2 linked regions of the Drosophila melanogaster genome follow. The protein of the gene in region 2 interacts with the protein of the main gene of each other region in a biochemical or structural test. Each region holds a gene or a part of one and is shown on either strand. Other genes may lie near its edges. The genes, in order: pk and nmo.

Evidence for each region.
Region 1: of the proteins of nmo (region 2) and pk, one has a biochemical effect on the other in vitro, tested with the Drosophila melanogaster proteins (one study listed by BioGRID).

Annotation. Positions count from the first base shown.
Region 1 is NT_033778.4:7,185,283-7,190,247, reverse strand, and holds the start of pk (prickle), read right to left. Parts: upstream 3,016-4,965; 5' UTR 2,635-3,015; intron 1-2,634. UniProt on the Drosophila melanogaster protein: Acts in a planar cell polarity (PCP) complex; polarization along the apical/basal axis of epithelial cells. Correct expression of the alternative isoforms is required for PCP signaling in imaginal disks.
Region 2 is NT_037436.4:7,977,189-7,982,337, reverse strand, and holds the start of nmo (nemo), read right to left. Parts: upstream 3,293-5,149; 5' UTR 3,165-3,292; exon of another isoform or gene 2,829-3,164; 5' UTR 2,658-2,828; intron 1,939-2,657; 5' UTR 1,520-1,938; coding exon 1,356-1,519; intron 1-1,355. Other genes in the region: POP4 ribonuclease P/MRP subunit, read left to right, coding at 3,733-4,353; CG8209 (uncharacterized protein), read right to left, coding at 4,669-5,011, 5,068-5,149.

The sequences.
Region 1 (4,965 bases), on a different chromosome or scaffold from region 2:
TGCGCCCACTTGAGCCGCATTTGCCCGGAAAGTCTCTTTTGAACGGGTTAAAATTGTGTTATCAAGCTATCAAGAACCCCATTCAGCGCCACAGAATCTGACATATATATGGACTTATCACTGCCTACCTAAGTGGTTTAGAAAGCCGCAGACGTGACAACTCATTCAGCGCGGCTGCAACTGTAAAATTTCATAATTTATTATGCAGTCGGATGGGCCTATGCAGCTGGCACATTTTCCGATATTACCATACGAATCCCGCCAGGGAGACAATATAAACAATAAGAGATATGCACCCAATAGCGGTCTTCAGAGCTGGATTCTTTCCGGTTCTGTTTGGCAGTCAGGCGGGATGTCTCACTCGCTAATGGATTAACTTGTTTGTCTATTTTACTGCCAAACTATAATTTGAGCCTCTGAAAGCTACGGCTGGGCCAGGCCGTAATAATTACACAGTTTAGGTCCGCCAGCCAAACTAGTTTGGGCGAAAGCCCGGCGATCTAATGAGCCATTGTCTGGGCCTCATATTTCATTGGGTCGGATAATAATCTCACGCCTGGCTTATCGGTGGAGCGGGGTGCTAAACGTCTTTGTCGCCATCGAAATTGATTGCTCTAAGCAGAAATGGAATTCCTTTTCAAGTTTTTATTGCGCTCACATAAAACCCGATCGCATCTCGAAAATCGTTCGATGTCGTGGAAAACAAAGTGAAATGAAAATCGAGTCGGCACGCCGCCAAAATGGACACCTTGTGGGCGGTAGGCAGTTGGCCGGTCTAATCTGCAGCGCACTCGTGTTAAATGTCAAATCCAATCAAATGGCGTTGAGTGAGAGGAAACGAGCGGGCCGGGCCAGCTAACGTTGCTCCATTTTCCGGGGAACCCGTTCTTATCTGCCTGGAAGATGGTTGGGAAACTAACGCGAGCTGACAGGATGACAGTTCAAATTGGCGTTTGCATACGTCCATCGACGGATCCAATACTTATTTACGACTTCCCGCCTCAAAAGCTCATAACGGGGCCTAATTAATTTACAGACCGAAATTCGCTCGCCAATGATGAATAGCTGGGAAATGGTTCGTTAATTGCGTCTTTAAATGGACGTGAGACATGTGTAATATGCAAATGGTGGGGCACAGACACAGAGATTGACATAACGAAGTTAGGTTGTTGACCCACTCGGACCTTTTGTTATGCTAACAAAACCAAGTCGATAACTGTAAAGTGGCCAATCTATTCCGAGGCGGGAATCTTTAGCTGCTTTGTATCTCAGATAGCCCGACAGCCAGATAGCCAGAGCATCTTGCCTTCATGCTCCGGCAATTGTGGCTAGATGGCTGCGTGCGGAGTAAACTAACCAACAAATTAACACGCCAGTTAGTTAGTTAGTTAGTCAGTTCGAGGCGTCGATTGGGGTTAAGCAGCCGTGGCAGTTGGCCCATAGTGAGGGAGAAAGTTGATGCAGCAGCTCCATAATTGAGCCAACTAGTTGCCGCAACTCGGCCATAAACAACAGTTTTATTTCGAACCGCCGCCGGCCGACGCTACATAATTATGAAGAATTTCTCAATAAAGCCCGGAATCGAAGCCAGCCGCAGTGCGAAAATTGATTTAGTTGGCCGGGCCATAAAAGACCAGAGCGAATTGCAGTGTTCCGTTGGTGCTTTATGGCCACCGTGCCTGGGCTATGTACATACACCGCGGAGGAATGCGCCGCAGAACCACTATCGGTGCGCTTTAAATTCAAATTGGCATGTCAGGCAATTAGAAATCGGAGATAAATTTCAACCCCGGCCCACACACACGTTCAGCTCGAGTCAAATGTCTCTTGTCAATGAGGTGTTCGAAGCCCACACAGACACACACACACACACACGGGACTGAAAAGCAATTGCTAACAAGCCATTGTTGACACATTGCCGCCATGTAAGCCCGTTTCATTACACTTCTGTGGGTGGCAGCTGCTTTGGATCACCAGATCCGTAGATCCTCAGCTTTATCTGCACTATGGCCCACCAAAAACTAATTGGATCAAGCGGCGGAGAAAGCCAAGAGCTGTGCGCGGTAATCAAAATATTTCGGGCTTTGGCAAGTGTTTTTATGGCTAGACGAGTCATGTTTTATGTGCTGGAGCGGGTCGTAAGCCTATTTGGTTATGACTTCATTCCGCGAGGCTGCAGCAAGTTGGTGAAAGTGCGCTGCGAATGGCGATTAAAACTTAACGCATCTAAATAAATCAAGCTGAGCACTTCAGTTGACGTGTAATGTGCATAAGCTTATGAAAGCCATTACACCGACGGGCCGGGCATATCCAAAGTTCGTTGCTCAAGTCTTTCGTTTCCTAAGTATCAGCCACACACCTTGGCTAACAGATTCTCGACCTTCGATAATCCCATAAAAATATTGCGCTAAAGCAGCCGGCCCGACGTCTGTGCCTCGCATATCAATCGGCCTCGAATTTCATTTGATTTTTAATGTAATTTTATTGTCAGTTGTATCTGTATCTGAATACGAATACGAAAGCGTTTGTATCAGTGAAGGAGTTTGAGTTTGAGTATCAGCTGGTATCCGTGTTGTACGAAACGAGCTGCGTTGACAATCATCAGGCGAAAACATGGCTTAAATCACATCTCACTTGCCCGTGTGGCTTATCCCGAGCATTTAGCGTAAATGAGCGCTTAGGCCAATTGTTGCATTAATTCACTTGGCCCCAGGAAGGAACACTATGCCAGACTTATTTAGCTGGCCCTGATAGGGACCACTCTGGATTATGGATTGCACTTCACTTTTGTCAATTTTTTGCAATTGTTGCGAATTCAGTTAGCAGCTTTTTGTGCACTTTGCTCCGATCTGGCTGAAAAACGGTAAACGACAGATCTGGCGCAAGATAACGTGGACCGAAATCGACATAGCCGAAGAGCGCGCGATCGATCGATCGTTCAGACGGATTACGCGACGACTAACCCGCACCTGTTGCCAGATGTAAACCGCTCGCAACTGACGACGCTTTCAGACTGATCGAACCTGCCCAGATGTGGATTTCTGTGTGGTTTGATCTTAGGCTGTGGATCGTGTTCGATGAAGGTAAGGTGTTCGTGGGACTTCTTGCTTTAGTGTTCTTTCAACGAGCTGCCAAAATACTATCACTATTAAGTGTAGTTAACGATAACAAGATAGTTTATAGTAATTTGTTTCCGATTTCGTCGTTAAAATTGTCTAAATTTGTATAAAACGCCAAATATCATAAGCTGCAACTCAATCCGCAACTGCAACATCGAACTTGTTTGATAGCTCCATTGCTTACACTACCATCCCAAAAGTATGCTTCGTTACTACGCATTTTTAGAATCATATACATGTAGATTTGCGCGTAAGATTCTCTGTAGAATCTGAGTTCCTAATATTTCATCGTTTAAGTCTAATGTAGAAATATAAGTTTCTTGTTTCTTTTTGCAAACAATATAGGGTTCTAAAATTCTAGATGCTGAAGTATCTGAAGAACTTTCCAGGACTCTATGGGACAATAATAGGGCTTTTACATAGAATGCCTCGTGTTCATAAATAGTGAATTGCGTAATCTACCTTCCCATGGATGTAAGAATTTAGTAGTTATATATCCAGCCGTATTCTGATGGCAGCGCTGTTCAAATCTTAAATAATTAACTTTAAGTAATAAACACCTTGTAAATTAATGGTGTTTAAAGAGCAATAAACTTAAAATAATTAAGTAAGAAAAAACTGCATGTAGTAATGAAGTGCATCAGAAGAGCTGATTACCACACATACACGAAAGAATACGTACTAAAATGATTTTCATACTTTAACAGTTAAAACACTAGAAGGGTACCCAAAAGAGTTTTTAATATGGTAACCGTGAAATACGATTTGGCCAAACCCTTTTGAGTAATTAAGAGTGGTTTTTATAAATTAGATGTGACCAAAAATATAACATAAGCTACATTTAAAGCCGGTACTTAGTGATGAAATATCTCTTGTCAGAAAGCAAAAATATTTCCCAACCACATTGCAAAGTGGGCTTGAAGTGACAAAAAGTGCGATGTCAACCGTGTTGGCCATCTGACGAGTTCAAGGTTGATTTCCAGCTGACCATGTTAGTTGGTCACCATCATTGCCTGCCGACTGGAGATCATTAGGCCGCACATTAGTGCCATCTCAGCGCAGGCTAATTAGAAGCTGAGTGTGAACGGAAACACTACGTTTCTGCGTGCCGCTTTTTGTTGCACAACCTGGGATGCCTCAATGATGCATGATTTATGGCATTTTGAATTGTGGATCGGCGGCGTGTGAAGCTCCCGAGGGGCCGGGCATCAAAGACCTGTCCAGCAATACGTATACTTATGTAGGTTTCTGCGCTTGGCTTACCTGAAACGAAAATGTAAATCGAAGGCAATTAGCTGAGTCTAATAAGGGCCAAAATAAGATTGAGTATAAGAATGGGGATTATAGTTGGATAGCGTTGACGCTATCAAAAAATCAATTTGGCTAATTGCAAGCATAACGGCCTCATTCGTTGCCACATTTCATCAAACACCATTTGGGAAGGAAACGTCAAAAGAGCAGCCCCAAGGTGCAGACAACTTTTAGACACGCCAAGTCTGGGAGGGAATGGCTGGAGTTTAGGGGGCTGGACGTGGTTCGTTTATTAGCGGAATCGAATGGGCCCCAAAGTGTCATCAAATCAATGCAAGCTAGCTCAAATCGAAGTCGGCTTCCAAACTTTTCCGGCCCACATTTGCGCGCCATTAAGCATTATGGGGGTTGCGGGGTGTGGGCCCGCATTCCTCTCGTGAAATGGGCAATTTTGTTGGCCCATAAAGGGCTATCGTAATGGGAAAAGTTGGCGCCACATCGGGGGCACAGGTGTGTCCCCAGGCAGGGAAATAGTTCCCACCCCGGGCGGGCTAATAGATTTCCAAATCAATAGACCATCCCTGGGGAGTTTTTC
Region 2 (5,149 bases):
CCACTTGTGGCTCGTCTTCGGACTTCCACTTCCTTGTGCCTAAACCATCGGGGCCCCTTGTGTGCCAGTTTTTAACTGGCTTCCCTGCGGACGACCAACGACGACCACTCCCCCACCGGCAGCACTCCTCAAAAGACCCGCCCGATAAACTGGGCTCACTTTGCGTTTTGATTATAGCCGGAAATGCCGTTTTACACGTGAATGAAATTTGTAAATGCAGCGTTGCCAAACTTCTGGCTACACTACGAATAAATTGATAGGAAGTCGAGTTAAATAATAAATAGATATGATGATTTCATATTGCCACCTTTTTTTGTGCTATGTTAAAATCATTTGCTTGATAGATTTGCAGCTTTTCGGTTACATTGATAACAAAATGTTGCTAATCCATATTAGATATTTTACTTTACCCAGTAAACAAACAAATATTCAATGCTCACCCCATTTAAGCAACCATTAATGTAAAATTTTGCACACAAATGTAAATCAAAAGAGTCGAGGGGATAGAAAAAAAAAAGCAGAGAGAGGCCGATAAACGAGGAGATGGGCAAATAGAAAAGTCCAAATTGAGGGGGGGGGAGGGAGGCCAAAACACGGAGAGCCAGCCAGTCAGCCAGCCAGCGCGCTTAGGGTAAGAAATATATTATAGGAAAAATCCACCCTCGGGGGGCCGCAGCAACGTTGAAAACTGCACAAAGGCACAAAACCATGAAGGACAGCTAGCTGAGACCCGGGACTGAGGTTCTGAATCGAAATGAGTACGAGGATGTTGACGTTGCCCGCTGCACAAAACATCAACATCAACAGCAGCAACACAATCAAAAGGGTTACAGAATCAAAGGCCTAAGCAGAAGGTTGCTGAACCCACGGCGAGACCGTGACATAAAATCGCACAGCAAAGTAACGACGCTGCAGATACCCTTTCTTCGAATAGAACAAAGACTTTTTCAAGTCAAAGAACAACTGTTTAATCTTTAGATATTTGAATTATAAAAGTACATTGACAGGAGGGTATTAACATTTGGATTCGAAGTCGGTCTTACAACTTTTTAACCGAATGTGTTTATAATGAAATCATTTACAAATTATCATTACATGAATTCTTTAAGGGGCACAAGCATATAATAGGATATGACGTTAATACACCCTTTTCTGCATTCTATACCACCTATTGTCTTATAATTCTCAAATATAATTGCCCATTTCGGCGGGATGTCTTTGGACAACCAGCAAAACAACCCGAAAATAACCATGCTTGCTAAACCAAGAAAAAATTTGATTGTACCAATACTATGGCAACACCCTTCGCCCATAATCTGGATTATTGCACTGAGATATAGAATCATTATACTTACCAGACAACTCCGAATGCTCCATAGCCGATAGGACGATCCGGCTGAACATCCTGGGGAACAGCCGGCGGTTGATAGTAGGGAGCCGCTGCGGCCAAGATTGCGCTGGCGCCCTGTGGCGCACCACCGGCAGCACCACCCTGTACCAGTGACATCGAAACGCTCATTGATGGACTACGCGGCAAGTTTTCCAAATAATTCGAGCAGCTGCACCCGGTTCTGGTATTTGTTGGCGATGGAGCTCAGTGGTTGTGGTCCTGCTAGGCTGTGGCTTTTACTGGTGGTGGTGGTGGTTTCGACTGGGTCTTGGACTGTGGTTCTGATTCCCAAAGCTGTGACGGCGGTGGTGACTGAGGTGGTTGAGGTGATGGTGTTGCTGGAAGTGGTGCTTGATTTGATGTGGGAGAAATGGTGTTGATTGCTCAATGGATGCCGCTGGGGCCAACTGATGGCCGCCATTCAATTGTTGGCCATTTGTTGCTGTTTGCCTTGGCGTGCTCCTCTATTCAGCGCTATTTGTTTCGCTGCGTGTCGCTTGTTACACTTCTTACTTATTTAAATTAGATTTGAGGACATTGTGATGAAACTGCGGAGTGAAGTGGATAAATAATCATTTGTAGACAGTTGAATTGTGAATAATTTAAACGTTGCTAACAGAATTTACAATCTTGATTTATTTTCACAGTACGCAAGAAAACTATTGAGAATTGATTTCCTATTCGACCACTAGTTACTAGTTACCACTAGGCTCAATATTTTGTATATTCTGTAAAAGCTAGATTTAATTTAATCCGGTTTTGGTATTATTCACTGTACTTTAATTGTCGTTACTTTTGTTTGCTTTTCGAATTTTTGGTGGCAAATGATGCTGCACAGGAATCAAAAAGAAAGAAGAGAGGAGAACAGTGAGAGAGAGCGCGCGAGAGGACATGAAAAGTGCCGTTAGCTGTCGCGACCGGGGCGCGTCCGTGTATTACAATTGTAAGTGTGTGCGCATGTGAGTGCGATTCTGAGTGATTTTCGGACTGCGCTGCCTGCGCAAAAAGCCGCTCAAAAGACACAAAAATCACTTAAAATCCGACTTTTCATGCAAATTTACAAATGTTGAAAACCAAACAATGGCGAGCACCCCCAAGTCGCCAGAAAATGAACGCAATCAAAAAACGCTCGCATGAAAATCGAAAAGTAACGGGACAAAAGAAATTCGCCCGGGGATATGTAATATTTCCCAGGGTTTCGCTTAGCTTTCCGGACTAATTAAACCTAACCTATGCAAACAAGACATTCCATTTCACTTTAAATTACCTTAAAAAATGCACAAATTATTGAGCAGCGGCGGTGGCAGTTTTTCGTTTATAATTTCTTTTCTATTTTTCTTTTTTTTTTGTGTTTAACTCTTCCGCCTTTGTGGGAGCGAGATGGAAGTAAAACGCGCCGGGGGTAATATTCGTGCGTGTGTGTGTGAGAGAGAGTGAACTAGCGGGCGAGACGGAAACAATTTTGTAATTTTGTTTAATTATTATTGTAAATAACGCGAGATGAATTTTTTGTTGTTTGGCGTGTTACTACTACTAACGCGACGGCTGCTCACACACACGCGCATACACAATCGCACGCACGTTTAAACTATGTACATGTATATGCAGAGCCAGACAAACAAACAAAATTTTGCCTGGGTCACGTTTCTTGGCTCTCTCACAGCTTTTTTTCTACGGTTGCCCTTTATTGCATTATCTTTGTTATCACACGGGCCGCGGGGCGTGGCTAAAAGGGGGGCGGGCGGATGTTGGTCGTCGGTTGGCGTTTGATTACCTCGCAGCTTCCCAACGAATGAGCCTAACTTGGATTTTCGATCACACGCGGCGACGTTTGTTTCAACGATAATTCCGAATTCGTGCGCTCGACGTTCCGCTCCGTTCGAAAGTTGAGAGAGACTTGAAACATATGTTCGGCGTTGCTAGAGGTGGTCGGCCACCGATAGAAACATCGATAGGTCCGATGTTTTCCACTCGTATATTAATTCAAGGTTTGGCTATCGATGTTTTTAGAGTGCCCGCACTATATCTATTTCCATCTCTATTTCGTTGGTATTTTTTGTATTTTATGACATTTCAAATGCAAAAGCAGGATGGCAACGCCAGATTGCCCCGAATGTACGTTATTTTTAAATTGCAGCGTTGAATATGAAAAATTGCAGGTACATACAGTTTCTAATAATTAATAGCAATAATTATTATTTAGCTTGTATTATACGAAGTGCACATGCAGCTATGCATCTGAAAAAATAATATTAATATATCGCCTTTTCTTCCATCGATAGAGTTCCGCGCCTATCGATATATTGTTGATCACCAAATAAATAAAACTAAATAACAACGCAATGGAACACGCGACAAGTGAATTGAGGGAATTTATCTCAGATCTGGTGATTCCGCACCAGCGTTGCAATGTTAACATCAATCCGGATCACATCACAATGCTGGAGGGCACCAAGATCAAGAAGCAGCACTCCCGAAAACGTCGCGCCCACAAATCCAGTACGCTGAGTCGCCGGGAATATGCGGCACTTGGTTTGAACACTCTTCCCACCAAGCAGATGAAGTACGAGGAGGCACTGCCACTGCACCACCTGTGGAAGGGCTATGTACGCGAGCATCTGGAGCTGAGGGAAGGTGACGAGGTGCCCCAGGTGCACGATGCTCGCTACGACGAGTTCAGCCGCAAGTTGGTGAAACTGGACTTGCACGGTGCCAAGATGAAGGTGCTGCAGTCCAAGTGCTCCACCCTGGAAAATTTGGCTGGCATCTGCGTCATGGACACCAAGAACGTGCTGAAACTGCTCGGCAAGGACCATCGGCTGCGCACAATACCCAAGAGCGAGTGCGTCTTTGGTATGAAAGTGGGCAACATGGAGTTCACCATATTCGGGCAGCACCTCAACATTCGACCCGCCGAGCGAAGCGTTAAGAAGATCAAGAACTTTGTGAAGCCCTTCATGTAGGAACTACAGGACCAATCATTAGCCATAGAAATTGAATCCTATTGTAATTTAAGGAAAAAAGTTTATTGGAAAGTTAGCATCGCTTTTCAATAGAAATTTAATAATTGCCCTCAAAGATCCTCTAAAACTTTACTTGTATTTGAGATTGTTGTGTTTAATATATATATAAAACCGTACATTAATTGTTTTTCTTGTTTTTTTTTTTTTTTTTTGGGGGGGGGGGGGTATATTTCGCGCCGCGTTTTTTTCGTATTTAGGTTCTAGTTTATGGGAGAGATTACCCGGATTCAAATATATCCAGTTTGTAGGAAAGATTTATGCGGGCGTCTTGGTCATGGTGATGACAGCGGATGGAACCAAGCCGAGCACTTCCAGCGGCTTCTCGTAGTCGTCCTCGGCGAACAGCTTGCGCGGAAAGGTGGTCATCAGAGAGAAGGGCGACTCGATGCCGGTCTTCATCTGGATGAACACACGTACGGCGGACAGCTGCTCCTTGACGTTGAAGGTTTCCTGTAGTGTTGAGCCATCCTGCAGGCGCACCTGGATGCGGGTTTCGGTGTAGTCTCGCGGCGGAGATTTCACACCGGCCGGTGGTGACGAAACTGTGGTGGAGCTCACGGATGGAGCTGGCTCTGCGTTGCCCAATTCCTTTTGTTCTCTGCATACCATGAATTATAATGAATTATGAAGTGGAAGGATAGGGCTAATCCTTACCTAGCCTTGCGTGCTGCCTTGTCCGCCTCAATTTGAGCCTTTACCCGATCGCGGGCCGCCTTCTCCTCGTCCTTTTCGCGCT